2 linked regions of the Lytechinus pictus genome follow. The protein of the gene in region 2 purifies or fractionates together with the protein of the main gene of each other region. This does not show direct contact. Links are inferred from orthologs where the notes say so. Each region holds a gene or a part of one and is shown on either strand. Other genes may lie near its edges.

Region 1 (7,907 bases), on a different chromosome or scaffold from region 2:
TAAAAAATTTGAATTTGGAAAGGCTTTGTGCAGGTTTTTGCACAAATTAGGTATCAACACAAATTGAGGCACATATAGAACCGAGTCCAGTCTTAAATTTTGCTTTTTAGATTCAAATAGCATCTTACACCTGGAAGGCATTTTGTATTCTAAAAAATGTCTACTTCACTGCATTAAAAATATGAAACAGAACAAAATCTATAGTGTGACATGTTCCAAAGATATTTATAATTATTTTTTCCTACATGTTGTATACATAGCATGAACAAGTATGGAATGGCATTTCTTTCCAAATTTTAATCCATGACAATCGGAAGTAGGAAATGATTGTATGGTGTATTTCTTCTCTTTTTTGTGACAAAGCCAATAACTGATTTAAATTTTTCAGAGGAACATACAAAAATAAGCAGAATGTCAGCCTGAGAGTTTCAGTTGTTATTTGTTATATTTGAATGTGAGTAAATTCCTTATTTAAGTTATATTCTATCATTTCTTTAAACATCATAAATAGAATTTGATAGCTCACAGAGATTAGTTCCATCTTTAGCATGTTTGTTTAACGTCAATAGAAGACATGATTGAGTTACTTTATGGGGTGGAACAAGAAATTAAGACAATTATACCGAATCTGCCATCTGGCTCTTCATTGCATCCATGAAGGTTGCTTCCGACGGCTTTGCTGATTGGCTATCTCCGTGCTGATCAGCTTCACCATTGGTCAGTTCGGGTGGTTGCTGTACCAACGAGGGCGTGGCTTCATTATCCTTCTCAAGGTAATTGGCATCAGAGAGATCAATCACAGCTGATGCGTTCTGTAGAAGAAAAAACATTTTAAAGACTTTCTGCAAAAGGTGATTGGTTGATATATATTCACTTAAAAAATTATTCACTAAAAATAATGACATATTTTCATTAACAACCCTCATAACCATCGCAAAAATGCTTGACATGATGAGGACGGTCAAGGTGATGATGACGATGATCATTTCAATGACAATGTGTGTAATTATAACAATAAAAACTTGAAAACTTGAAACATAAACAGTGTTCTATCGAGACCCATTTTAGTGGTGGTCACGATTTTTTTTTTTAGGCTGAGTTGGCAGTCTTTAAGCCATGAGTGAAGGAACATCAATGTAATAACTATCTGACATTAATTTGCAAATCTTTGTAAATGAACAAATAAAACAAGATTAAAGATAGAAATGAATGCAGGTCAATTTCCTCTTTTCGAATAGTTCATTTTATACACTTTCCATTTGGAATTAGTGGTGGACGGGAGCAGTGTTTTTCAGGATGAATGGTGGTCAGAAATCTTCGGTGCCGGTTGGGCCCGACCACTGCCATCCACTGTAGCGATAAGTTACAACACTGATCATAAAAAGGCCTAATCAATTTTTTTTTTTTGCCAGCATAAATATAAATTTTTAGCAATTAAAGTCTAGATCTAAAATTCAATTAGAATCAATGTTAAAATATTTTTTGAAAATTTGTATCAAACGTGTGCTAATTTAAAGGGGAATCCAACCCAAACAAAAACTTGTTTTTATAAGGAAAAGAAAAATCAGACAAGTTAATAGGTGAAAGTTTGAACAATATTGGACAAACAACAAGAAAGTTATGAATTTTTAAAAGTTGTAAATATTGGTAATCACTATACCCATGGAGACTTCAAATTGGCCGCATATGGGATGTCATAGTGATGTAAGGCAAGAACTACTCTTCCATGTACTCCAATACATATTATGGCTAAAATGTCATTTTTCCCAAAAGTTTTATTTCAAATTATAAAATTATATTTTGCTTTCATGAGGACATAAAACAATATACTTCCTGGGTTATATTTAGATTACTGCCCCAGGGGGATGGGTACTTAGGAGAAAACCACAAATCCCTGATAATAAAGTACATGGCCTATGGGAAAGTTGTCCTTGCATGCCCCTTGTCATAATTTACTTACCCAGTGGCCAATTTGAAATCTACATAGTATTAGTGATCTCAATTTTAAAGCAGCTATAACTTTCTTATTGCTTGTCCGATTTCTTTCAAACTTTCACCATTCTGTTTAATTTATTTTTCTCCTTCCCAACGCAACATTTTATGGCCAAGGCTGGATTCCCCTTTAAGAAATGCTTTTTCATAAAGGCAAGGGTCTGAATCCTGCCTTTAATAGACAATAGGCAGTAGAGGCACTGTTCCAAAAATTGAGATTGTCCAAGAAAACAAGGATATATCCTCATAAACCAGGACAAATCCTCATAAACCAGGACAATTACGTCGCCATCTTGATTTCTATGTCTTTCGCCAAGCGAAAGACAAAGAAATCAAGATGGCGACGTAAACAAGGCCGTAAGCTCTTCCCATCTTAACATTTTTCTCATTTTTTTATGAAATCTTGTTTAAAAATGAAAATCAATATCGTAGAAATGTCAGAAATGAAGGTGTACCCCATGTACATGATTTAGGGCTAGATCTTTTAGAGGGAAAGTAGAAATCTCGGGGGCGAAAGTTTCAAACTTTCAGGTTTTGGGACGGTACCGGTATGTGTAGCCGTATGGGAAGCAATTCCAGGCTCCATGGGGAGTAAGCCTACGTATAGTAGACTGATTTTTACTCTCCAGGAGCCTCTATGCTACGTGGCAGTGGATCTAGACTATATAGTCATACTCATATTTTAGTCTTATTTAGGGAAATTAGGGCCTAACTAAATACTAACTTAGTTGTTTATATCAGCGGACAGCGGTTATTAAATTTTTGACTGGACGTTGACAATAATTTCATACATTTTTTTTAATTAGACTAAAATTTTGCTTAGCCTCTTAGTTTTTACAGAGACGGCTTCAATTAAAGTCAAGCGCTAAATAAAATCGATGTAACGTTAGAACTAACGTTAGAATGTAGATCTACGAATGTGTCCCAGCTCAGCGCAGCACGCAGCGGGTGGGTCCGGGGAGAAGATCTGTCGGATTCCGCACAACAACACGCATCCACAACACTAAACAGTCACAATAATCGGCTGCTAGCTAGCGCATTTCCACCACACAATCAATCATCTTATCATCAATCATTCCCAACATGATAGAAATGTAAAACACACCAATCGTGGATTACATTAGTATTGTGGAAATGATGGATAAATACCCCCAAAAATTAATTATAAAGCATTTTTCTTACCATTTCGTCATTTTTTGCGTACCACTCGGAACTCGCCATGGTGGCAGTTTTTCATGTTAAATAACGTAGAGGGCGTCATACGACTTTGATGAAATGTCATGAACAATATTCATTGCGCTATAAAAATAACAATTCCAATTCATTTTTAATTTTTTTTTAAATAGAAAAGATCTTCGTAAGACTGCCTGGACTGTCTGAATAGAAGGCGTATACATACATATATATATATATATACTCTAGCGTACATAAGGGGGGCAGGGGGGCAGACTGCCCTCCCCCCCCCCCCCCCTGACGAGTCACAAGGAAAAAAAAAGCGAAAAAAGGGAAAGAAAAAAGAAAAGAGGAAAAAGGAAAGAGAGAAAAAGGGGAAAGGGGAAAAAGAAGAAAGAGTTGAAGAGAAAGGGGAAAACAAAAACTGGACTGCAGACTGTCGGAAAAAAAATTATAAACTGTCGGGCACACGGGGCTGCTCCAACTGATTCGGTTTTTTAGTTCCACCAGCTTTGTCGGTAAATGTCAATTAAATTACTGTACACTTTTATCGGTAAATTGTGATTTTTACGCAATGCGACCTTTAGAGCTCTCTGTACCGATAGTGAGGACGGACTGGGCTGACCAGTCCAGGGACAGGAAAAAGTTAGAGAACAACTTTTAGGTAACATAATTATAACAATGCAAATTTCGCGCGTAGCGCTCGCATAAATTTCTAAGTTGGTTACTTAAGATAAATGTCTAGTTTTCAGGCGTCAATTGATTAGTAGGCCTAAGAGCCGGAATATAAAAAATTTCAGCTCGCGCTTCGTGCTCAAATATAACTGTTCAAATATATCCATCCTGTTCATAGTTAAATGAAGTGCTTAGAATGTCCGGTTTTCAGGTCGGAATATAAAAATAAAAAATATCAAAAATATATCATTAGAAACCAATGTGTTCACGGTTACAAAAATTGCTTAGAATATCAAGTTCTTAGGCCGGAATATCAAAAATTTCAGCTCGAGCTTAATTCGCACTCGCATAAAATTCCATCCTGTCCATAATTAAATGAAGTGCTCAGAATGTAAAGTTTTCGGGTCGAAATATAAAAAAAAATTTAGCTCGCGCTTCGCGCTCACACCAATTAATTGTTAGAATGTCCACTTTTCAGGGGGGAATATCTCAAATTTTCAGCTCGCTCTTCGCGCTCGCATCAATTAATTATTCAGTTAGAAACAACTTTGTTCATGGCTACTAAAAGTCCTTAGAATGTCCAGTTCTTAAGTCGGAGTATCAAAAGTTTTAGCTCGCGCTTCGCGCCCGCCCGACTGTTTAGAAACCCATCCTGTAACTGCTTAAAATGTCTAGTGTCCAGTTAGGAATATCAAAATTTTTAGCTCGCGCTTCGCGATTGCATAATTGATTAAGGAAGATACCCATTCTATTCATAATTAAGTGCACAAAATGTATCGTTTTAGGTTCATTTTTTAAGAAAAAATTCAGCTCGCACTTCGCGCTCGCAATTATTAGTTTTTTATATTATTATTTTTAATTGATTTCAATGTCAAATACCTCTTTTATAACGTCTCCAAATGAGCAGAATTGGGAACATAATTATATGTAAACACCTTTGAAGAGGAATAAAAGAAGTATTATATAATAGTATAATAGTATAAGTATAATATAATCATTGCAACTACCACTTGATTAGAAATATATCGATCACGATCCAATACATTTCATTTCTGGAATGATATACAAAAAAGGAATTAATTTCGACAATAAAGTGCAATCACCCGATAGCAAATATCAGTAGTAGCAGGATCGAGACTGTTTTATTGGGCACCCCTGGGTAACCTTTCCCACCTTTAGTGCCACTGCCAGAGCTACACATCTAAACGTGTATGGGGGGTGGGCTGCAAAATGCAGGACAACGAGGACTGCGAGGTGCCCAAATATCCTCGTGTATTGGTAATTTCATGACCGAATTTATAATTTCTGCACGTTTCACATCATGTAAAAATGCCAAATAATAATTGAAAAAAAATTTCGCTCTCTTCGCTCGCTCGAAAATTAAAAACTGTGAAGTTGGTATTTGGGCAATGATTATCAGCCCCCCCCCCTTGAAATTGTTTTGCCTTTATACGTCCATGCCTACTATCTCCCCCCCCCCCCCCACCTTACTCATCCTTGTCGCTTGCCCCCCTGACGAAATATGCCATGTACGCCACTGTATATATATATATATATATATATATATATATATATATATATATATATATATATATATATATATATATATATATATATATATATATATATATGGGCAATTCCACAGGTTGATGGACATGAGCTTAAAAATTCAAATTCAATATTTTCTTGATTTTTTTAATACTTTAAGTCCTTCATGCTTGATAGTTTCAGGAACAAGAAATAAAAAGTTTATTTTCATATGCATACTTTGGAAAAAAATGGTCAAAAGTTGTGTCTTCCATTCTGTACCAAAATACAAGAAAAATAGTGAAAAATGAAATATGCCTTATTACCATTTTGTTATTGCAACAACATACCACTTTATATATTTCTGAAGTTTAGAAGAGTCAAATTACCTAAAATACACAACAGCTTTTCAAGTAAATTTGTAGTACTCATTCAAAAATGAATATTGCAACTTGCTCAGGTGATGTAACGTGAGTAACCGAAAAAACTGACTTTGTTTTCTGAGAGAAAAATTCTTCACAGTTAATTGGTGGGATTTTAAATTCTCTTCCTTCAAACAATCTTTGACACAGTGATGACTAACAAAATCATTACAAAGTACAATTTTTTATAAAAATGATGAAGAAAAACTGTAACGTGAGTAACTTTGTAACGTGAGTAACCATCATGTAATGTGAGTAACCAGTAAAAATTATGCAGTTAGGTAACATTTTCTGTGGGATGTCAAGTTTTAAGTCTCATGGTGAGTTGTGAAGTTATTTTTGATTAATTAAAAGCAAAATGAGGGTACACCTCTTTGATGTGACTCTTTGTTCATCAAAATATCAGTGGTCATACAATCACACAAAAAATTGAATATTAGTAGAAGTATTCACAATGCGAGAGTGCATTAGTAAGACTTGGTTTCAATTAACCAAACTTTAAAGAGTGTTCGAACAACACATTGAATGTCCTTACCTGTAACCCTATCTAGGCTGGGGTATTTTGGGAGTTAATATGGCCCAAGGGGGGGGGGGTGTGAGGGGGGGGGTGTGGGGGGTTTGAGATCTCGGCCTCTGGCCGCCCGATCACGCCGAAAATTTGCATGCAGGTTGTCTTGGACATAATCTACAATACTATCAGTAATTTATTTCATGCAAATTGGTGTTAAGCAATTATGCTAATTTATGCATAATTAGTAGGCAAAATCATACTTTTCCCTCTTACTCCCTAATAAAGCTCCAATTGTTCCATTTTTTTGTATAAAATCTCTTTTTGATGTTCCTAGCAATGAATTTTACACACATTATTGAATTTTTAATGACATTTGTGTTGTTAACCATACATGGACAAAATGTAATGTGAGTAACCGTAACGTGAGTAACCATATTATCTGCACCCCAAGTAAAAACCATGTGTTCTTTATTTTTTTGATTATGTACAAAGTTTGTCTCCCTAATATACTTCTTTGAAATGGATATAATCAACTTTCATAAAAGCCTTGTATGAGGAGACTTTTCACTTATGTCGACTTTTCATTTTATGCATGTCCAAATCATGTAATGTGAGTAACCGACACATTCCAAAGATTTGCCAGGAGCATAATAAAATTTCCCAAGTTTTGTTTTTATACAAAGGATAGTCAGACTGTGTACTTTGTTGTGATAAAGAGATGTTTAGTTCCTATCAATAATAATGGAGTTACAGCTCCAAGTATGAGTCAAGGTGTCTCCAAATGTAACGTGAGTAACCGTGGAATAGCCCATATATATATATATATATATATATATATATATCGACGAAGGCCGATGATGGCCGAAAGCTTGCAATACAAAAGGAAACTCGAGAGCTACGTCTCACCCGTCGTTATTTCTGTCTTCCAAGTTTATTTACACTAAATGATGAGTACCTGCACTACTCGTTGTGCTGAGGGCCCCCTTACATTATATATATATATATATGTATATACATATATATATATATATATATATACTTTTTATGTGAAGAATGAATGAATGTCATGTAATTTCCCTCTAAATTTGTATTATATAAAATTATAATTATGTTTTCCCCCAAGAATTTAAAATTGTGATTGAATACTGTTTTATTGAGTACAATATAGGAGCATTATTGATGAAACTTGTTTTGTAAGAAGGGATACAAAATGCCATGCGAGAAAATAATGCGCACCATCCCCTTAAAAATAGTTCGTATAGTATTGGCTTTGGTTGCACTTGTTAGTGTGATTTGGTTACACTTCGTAATTCCGAAGGTTCGTAATTCCGAAGGTTCGTAATTCCGAAACACGTTAATTGCCTATACCTCGATGTTCGTTAATCCGAAAACATAAAAGGGTTCGTTAATCCGAACATTTGTGGCGTTATTCCGAAGGTTCGATAATCCGAAAACGAAATAAGGTTTGATGTTCCGAAGGTTCGATAATCCGAAAACGAAATAAGGTTCGTTGTTCCGAAGGTTCATTAATCCGAAAACGAAATAAGGTTCGTTGTTCCGAAGGTTCGTTAGTCCGAAAACGAAATCAGGTTTGTTAATCATTTCGT
Region 2 (8,140 bases):
ATCGGAGGGCGACAAACGTCCAGTAGTTTGGGGAGAAAGCGACGGCGACACCGAAAGCGAGTTGGGCCCAGATGGAAATAAACCATATCGGCTTCCTTCCAAAACGATCAGAAAGCTGTCCAAACATTAATGATCCGACCATAACCCCACCCATGAAGATCGAAGTAGAAAGATCCACCTTGTCTTTGTCATTGCAAACCAGATCCCACTAAAAAAACATTAAAAATCAACAAATAATAATAGGGATGGTGGGACTAATCGACAAGAACAACTAATATTTGTTTCAATCAAATTTGCAATAAGAATTCCATTCTTTTCTTCGATTCTCCTTTCAATTGAAATACCGTGATTAGACAAGGCGGGAAAATGGATCCGACTTTTAGGATATAACTTGTTGCAATACGACGAAAATGAAATTTCTTCAACTTAAACACATATTTTACTGAGGGACGGATAAACGTTACTTATATCCCATATAATTATATTGGATTGTTCTATTCAAAAAAAAAGCAACTATGGACTTCAAATGAGAATAGGCAAATTTAACATTAACGAAGTTCTTTATTAAACATGACGTGCATGATGGAGTATGTGTGCAGGAATTAGGCGCAGTGAGATTTACATACTAGAAATTGATGATAAAAATAATAATAACCTAGTCTTATAAAGCACTTTTCATGAAATCCATATCAAAGCGCTTTACAATGTAGAACATATGAAATATACAAACAAAAGTGAGTTAGAAATTATATAACCAAAAATTAAAAATATTGAGGACACTCTAAATGGGGCTAATGTTGAATGTGCTTTCTTCTTAAGATAAGTCTTTAAATTGGATCTGAACAATGTGATATTTGGGATACAACGAAAGGAAGATGAAAGAGCGTTCCAAAGACGTGGGAAAGAGCTTGAAAAGTGTGAAAAGGGCATTTATATTTCATCATGATATTAATGATATCAATGATATAATTTTCTTGTAATTATGCTTCAATCGTATATTTCAATTTCTCTCCCCCCCCCCCGCTTTTTTTTTTTATAAAGATTTTTAGGGGCGATGTAGGCATATTGTATACGCGCCTGGTTATTACCCCCGCTCCTGTTTGTATGGAATCAAAACCGAAAAAAACCTTACAACGTGTAAGAGGTCGAGATAGGGAAATACGGAAAAATGCGTGTAAGAAAATCCAGAGAACTTTTAAAGCTGTTATGTTGCATCTAAAGTTCAAAACATAATGTTTTCATTTAACGATATTCAATGGTCAGAAAATATGAGAGGGGCTTTAACTTGCAGAAAACAGCTAATCTTATTGTTTCACAATTATGTTTCTATTTTTAGAATACCATAGAATATTTAAACCTGCAAACACATTGTTTACTATTCACACTATTAGGCCTACTGATTTAAAAAGAATGCACTTTGGGACTTTGCACTCAAGAGTAACTGCTCTTTATCGACCTTTGATTTTATGTACATTAGAATGACGTCTATTGGATCTATAGTGGAATTGCTCTGTAATCAAATTACAATTTGAGATTTGCCGTACATTGACCAAAATATCAACCGAATTATATAAGATGTTAGATAACGTTTATAATCCATCATCTTTACTATATCATAGTAGACCCACAGATGTAAGAGAAATTTAGAGCTATTACGATTTGCCATTTACAAACTGATATATAATTTTGGTAGCACACTCTGATAGACCATCGCACCCACTCCTTTGATTGTAGTCACAACAATTGAGAATATAATAAAGAGAAAGAGGGGGTAGAGAGAGGGGGAGAGATGGAGAGGGGGATCTCGGAGAGGAGAGTGATAATGAAAGAGAGAGGGGCTGGAAAACAGTTAGAATAGAAGTCGAGTTGATCGTGGGTGAAAGAACACTATAGGAGAGAGAGAGAGAGAGGGGAAAATATATATGCGTGGGTTGGATCTAATTTCATTGAAAGTCATAAACTTGTGACCTTGTTTCTATGACAACGGATCAAGATGCATAAATGGAGGTCATGACTGAGAGGTCAATCATTGATTCACAACGATCAAATGTGACCTGTATTTCATTTTTATTTTAAGGACTCTTTGACAAACATAATAGAAAGATTTATTTACCCAACCAGGACATTATACATTTATGTTTTTCTAGTTTGATTCTTAACGTTAGGTTTAATTTTTAGTTTCATTTGTTTAGAACTACTATTCACTTACTTCCATTAATAATAATCAATAGATCTGTATGAAACAAAAAATATGAGCATCACCCGCAAATTATAGAAATTACCCTACGGTGTGTATGCTTAATACAAATGGTAATAAGCACTTCCAAGACAAAATATTACATTAATATCTTTGCCACTTCCTATATCCAACTACACCCCTTCCCCCTTCTCTCTCATACACTTTAACCCCCCCCCCCTCCCTCTCCCCTTCTTAATTTTAATGCGTTTAATGAGTTAATATTTCATCATCCGTGAATGATCTTACCTCTGTTGCAATCGTTTTCCCATAGAGATCTTCATCATAAACCCATCCATCGATGCACCCCTCCGTTGCATTGCCAGCGGTGAAGTTCACAAATCTCAAACAGCTGGAATTTACTGGACCTTCGCCTTCTGACTTGCCCTGCTCGACCGGATAGTAATGATTCCAAGGGTCCATGACGACATCTTCACCCGCTGGATCATCCCCTGGAGGAATGCGACAACGATGCTCGGGAACCGCCCCCAAGAAGGTGATGGCTAGCATATGCCATGACTGTGTGAGTTGCCCGACCAGGCATATGAGCACGTAAATGATGGTCTGATATCGCCCGAAATCGCCCAAGGATTTGAGCGCCTCGTCCAGATCCATGGCATATAGTCCGACATATAGTTTTCCCCCCGAATAATTCGACCGTCCTGACCGTGGCAGGTCGTTTCTCAGGTTATATAAAGACCAATGATCTCCCCGTGGTATCCCTCATATATCGCTAGATCACAGTGCAAATATAAATAAGTACTACCCAAACTTCTGTTCAGTATTCAAGTATGAAGTAAATAACACCCTTGCTTCAAGTGTTCTAAGTACAACGACACGATTACAAAAAGAATATAGCTAACGATATGACTTATATACAATTCCTCTCGAAACTAATCTGACAGTCTCTTGGCAACTCACTTGCAACCGAAACCAAGAGAAGAACGGCCATGCAGTCCTGCAACAGGAAACGGTTGTCTTTATATTATGAGAACTTATACTCGTAATTACATGCGCGATAAAACAATGTTGAATTAATTACAACTATCAGTCTATAGAAAATTACGAAGTAAATTACACACGTCCATATACTTTTTTTATTCAGCTATTTATACTTTGACTACCATCATAAGGGCGAATTATTTTGAATCGAGAAAATCCTGGAAAATGTTCGTCAAGTTTTTTGCAGGGGGTCGGAAAACAATCTCTTCTATTTTCATAATTTCTAAATTTGGACGATGATATTTCTTGAGCCCATTGAGATGGGATGGTCCGTGCTGAAAATATTTATATCTTAATACATAAAGTAGAATTCACTAAGCAAAATGCCAAAAATGTCATCAAAATCGGATAACAATTAATAAAGTTATTGAATCTTAAAGTTCAGAAATATTTTGTGAAAACAGTAATCATGAATTTTTATTAGGTGGACTGATGATGTCACATCTCCACTTTCCGTTTTCTTATGTTATTAAATAAAATCATAATTTATTCATTATTTCATACTTGTGTGAATAATATGTCTCCCTTATAATGAAATAAGTTGCAGCAATAAAAATCTAATGCACTAAATCAGTTGTCAATCCAATTTTTTCTAGTTCTTGGAGGAAAAAAGTTGAATAAACCTAATTTCATATCAAGTGGGGATGTGACATCATCAGCCCACCTAATGAATATTCATGACGAGTGCATGTTTTCACAAAATATTGCTAAATTTTAAAATTCAATAACTTTTTTATTTGATATCCGATTTTGATGAAATTTTCGGCAGTTTGCTCAGTGAATTCTACTCTATGTATTAAGCTATAAATACTTTCAGACCGGACCATCCCTTTAATACTATCTACCATGGCATTATTGCTCAGCAGCCAATCAAATTCAAGAATTCCTTTGAAGAAACCATCGGATGACAAAGTTATAGAATAATAATAACTTTTATGCAAAAGGGCCCAGAATTTTTTTTCCTGAATGATAATACAACCATGCTTACATAGCGCATATCACTACCCGTAGAACTCTCTGTGCGTTTAGGAAAATAGACCAAAAAAAGAAGATTGGATTGAAGCTGTTATGTAGACTGCATAAATTATAACTGCTTAATTAAACAAATAAGTTTTGAGACGACTTTTGAGTATAAAGCTTGTGGAAGCTGGGATCGTATTCCAAAGTTTAGAGGCAGCGTAACAAAATTACCTCTCCCCATAGAATGAATGGGAAGAAAGTCTGCTGATTAGCAAGAAGTCTGATCATCAGTATATATCATTTTATGCCATTTTGGCGCAAGTCTCTTTTTAACCCCAGACAAAAACATTCCGTGTTCGTTCAAGCATGAACGAAACTGAATCATTTTAATGGCATTTGAAGGATAAGACTTCAGAGCACCCATTGGCACCAAAATAGAGAGTTCATAATTTTAAACAAAAATTTTATAGACTTTTCAAATCTGTCCCGGTTTTTTGATACGCACTATATATATATATTATAATATATATATATATATATATATATATATATATGTAACTATATATATCTTGTCGATAGGCCCCCGTATTCCATTCTGAAACTGGACAATTTGATTGTTAGAAATTCATGAAAATGTTATCATTTTACTTACTAATCTAATAAGCCTAATAAGAGCGCATTTTTTATATTAAGGCCAGAAACCTAGACATTTTAAGTACTTTTGTCATTATGAATAGGATGCATTGGGTAATATATTTTAACAAAAATAATGCGATCGCAAATCGCAAGCCGAAACTGTCCTAAAGGGAGATTAAGTAGTTTGTGAGAATTAAAATAGGTATACATAACTCACAAATTAAAATGCGAGCGCGCAGCAAGTGCTGAAATCAGACCTGAAAAGGGATATTTGGAGAACTTTATGGAATACACGAAGAGAATATTAAGTACTTGACAAAATAATGCTAGCTCGCTGATATCCAGACCATAAAACGGACATTTTAGAAAACACTTTTTAAAGAATCAAACAAAATATTGAAAGCTCGATGTCAAAATATGTTGAAATATGTTTTGTATATTGACTTCAAAACTTCAAAAAAAGTTAAGCTCCATTTCAGCCTGTAAGGCAATGCGAGCACGAAGCATGAGCGAAAATTTCTCTATACGTGTAGTGACATGAAAGATGTCTTCTCCTCAGTCACCTATTTTTTTTATTCACTCGTCTTGTTTTTTTTTTTTTCTTTTTCTCCTCTCTTTTCCCTTCTTTTTTTCTATCTCCCCCCTTTTTTTCCTTTTCTTGTTCCTTCAACAAACAGTGAGGGACATTTGATATTGCGTGTCCCCCCCACTGAACTAGAGATACGTATCTCTAGTTCAGTGGTCCCCCCCCCCCCCCCGCCCCGGCCCCCCCTATAATTACGGTAAATAATAATGCGCCCTCACAATTCACAAACAGAACACAGCTGCAAGCCACATCACAGTCAGAGACAGTACAGAGGACAATTTTTTTCGAATGCCGGCTTTTCGCAGAGGTTCAATTCCAATAGATCTGTATTAAGACGATAACACTAGTAGGTAAAAGTCTAGTAGTAGGCCTACTTGATCCTTTAGGTAATGTTAGTTTTATGAATTGACGCGCGGGCGCGGGCTTAAAAAATAGAAAAAGTCATATTGGCTTGTCCCACATGCTCATTTCTGTGTAGGGGCCGAAGGCTAGCCTTGACTGTTGTGTTGTGCAATGTGTGTTCTAGACCAAAAGCTTCAGTCTCTGTATTTTGGTTGTTCCGCTGAACTACGTTGGCTCCACTCACCATACATAGACTGAAGGGGATGGGGCCCCGTACCTACAGCCAACGTATAGTGAACTAGCGTTTTATAGATCGCGATTTAAAACTGATTTTTAAGCAAAATTGAAAGTTTCATGGTTTCCATTATCAGGGAAATATAAATAACTTAAGTAATTGCATACCTTGGGCCGGAGTTATTGAAAAAAATCCTCTGGATGATTGAGAAATCTGTCATCTAAGACATTTTCACCGGACCTGACGGTTTTTCTTGCAAGTTGCCATCTTGAATGACGTCATTATCGTTATTAACTTAATGTCTCGAATCGATATATCGCGATTATAACTAGTACTAGTACTAGTATAACTAGTATCGTTTATCTTCGGTTTCGTTCGCATATGGAGCAGATCGTATAATATCGAAAGCAATATCGATATCACATTCGTGATTGTTGACGTTCGTTTGTAAATATTTTATAGTTTGGCTGCCATTTTGACCATTTTTATCGTGTTCAACCCAATTAAACATCGGTAAAGTATATTTTTCATGCCTTTTTCATCTATATCGTTTAAAGTATTTAAACATTTAAATATCAAATTTTAAAAGTTTGTTTATACATCCTTAGATTGTAAATTTGATGTGTAAAATTACATCAAACTTTGGACTGTGAATTGACAAAAGGGAGGGAATGAGAACACATGCGAGCCCACACGTACACCCTACCGTCGGTAAATGGGGATTACAGTAAAATGTCAGAAATTGTTGAATAAATCCCCAGAAACGACGGTTATTCCTGTCTTATGTGTGTTCTTGCCAAAATGATCCAGCTATTATTACTATTATGGTGGATCAATCGTGGTCACGGACGGACGGCGCTAGTGTAGTTTCGCACCTCCCCGTTTAATGGTTTTCAAACATGTACAATCTCACCCTAAATAATTCACAACCTAAATCTAAAATACTTGCATCTGAGCCTCCAAAGGCAAAGTCCAGTAGAAGTCACTCCTAGTACCAATGAGGTCCAAACATTACATGTATGGACCTCATAGGCGACATCAGTAGTATTTTGGGTTAGAAATCTTTGAGAACAGGACATTTCTCTATTATATCACAAGTAGAAGCTATAATTCGTTTCTTTTATTTAAATTTAAATTTTAGTGTGTAAATGCATTGTTAGCAACAACAAAAAATGAAAGAAATTAAGGGAAACTTACATTTTGACGACCTTTTCTTGATTTTCTTGGCAGTTGCTCTTCACTTCTGACTCTCGATCGGAGCTGATATGCAGATCACGTGATACGCGTTCTCGTCAGGTGATCGGTTGGTTATTCTTTTCGCCAGACGTTGATAGTTATATATTTCATAACGCTCGCATTCATCGTAAATTTGGGTGAAAGAGATTGAAGTTAAACAGCGCAAGCTTTAATTTTTTTTTTAAATAACGTTTAATTGATTGCACAAGTTTCGCCTCGGACATGTAGGATCATTTCGTCCAATAATGGCGTAACGCGTAACTACGGGGGGGAGGGGTGTCCCTACCACTACCGTCCACAAGCCAGCAATTATCTTTTTTCTCTCTTTTTTAAAACCAAAATACTCCTCCCCCCCCCAGAAAAAAAGGAACCAGGGTTAAAGAGAAAGAGAATAATGATGGAATAAAAAATAATTTATTTTTTCAGCTTTTCCTGTTTTATTCGACTTATAATCAAATATTAAATGGGGCTTAGAACAGCCTTTTTAAAAGTCAATTAATAAAAAATATTCCTCCTCGGGATTCGAGCTTTCATGAAATATCAATCTTTTTCATAACTACGAAAATATTTTAAATGTCCAAATTTTGTATTGGTATATAAAGCTTTAGCTCATGCGTTGCGCCCATCTTATTTTAATGTTGAGATACAATTTTATGCTTCTAATGAATTCCTAAAAACACTAAATTCTCAGATCCTTTCGCAATCGAATGATTCGATTAAGCTAATGAATGATTATTATGTTTCATGAATTGTTTAAAAGGTGTCTCTGTATCAGTTTTGAATATTAAAAAAAATGCCAGCTCGTGCTTTTTGCTCGCAATATTTTGATTAGTAAGAAGTTCTTGTAAATGCGAGTTTGATAGATAAATAACTAGAGAGAGAGAGGGGGGGGGTCCCTCAGCTACTT

The links.
Region 1: the proteins of solute carrier family 22 member 21-like (region 2) and protein YIPF3-like purify together in Homo sapiens (co-immunoprecipitation; 3 studies listed by BioGRID and IntAct, counting the BioPlex papers as one, with this or other methods). This does not show direct contact. The link is inferred for Lytechinus pictus from reciprocal best matches to the Homo sapiens genes SLC22A5 and YIPF3.

What each region holds. Positions count from the first base shown.
Region 1 is NC_087250.1:17,100,141-17,108,047, forward strand, and holds the start of protein YIPF3-like, read right to left. Parts: upstream 3,246-7,907; 5' UTR 3,214-3,245; coding exon 3,175-3,213; intron 813-3,174; coding exon 624-812; intron 1-623. UniProt on the Homo sapiens protein: Involved in the maintenance of the Golgi structure. May play a role in hematopoiesis.
Region 2 is NW_026974140.1:5,909,369-5,917,508, reverse strand, and holds the start of solute carrier family 22 member 21-like, read right to left. Parts: upstream 3,246-8,140; 5' UTR 2,852-3,245; coding exon 2,486-2,851; intron 209-2,485; coding exon 1-208. UniProt on the Homo sapiens protein: Sodium-ion dependent, high affinity carnitine transporter. Involved in the active cellular uptake of carnitine. Transports one sodium ion with one molecule of carnitine.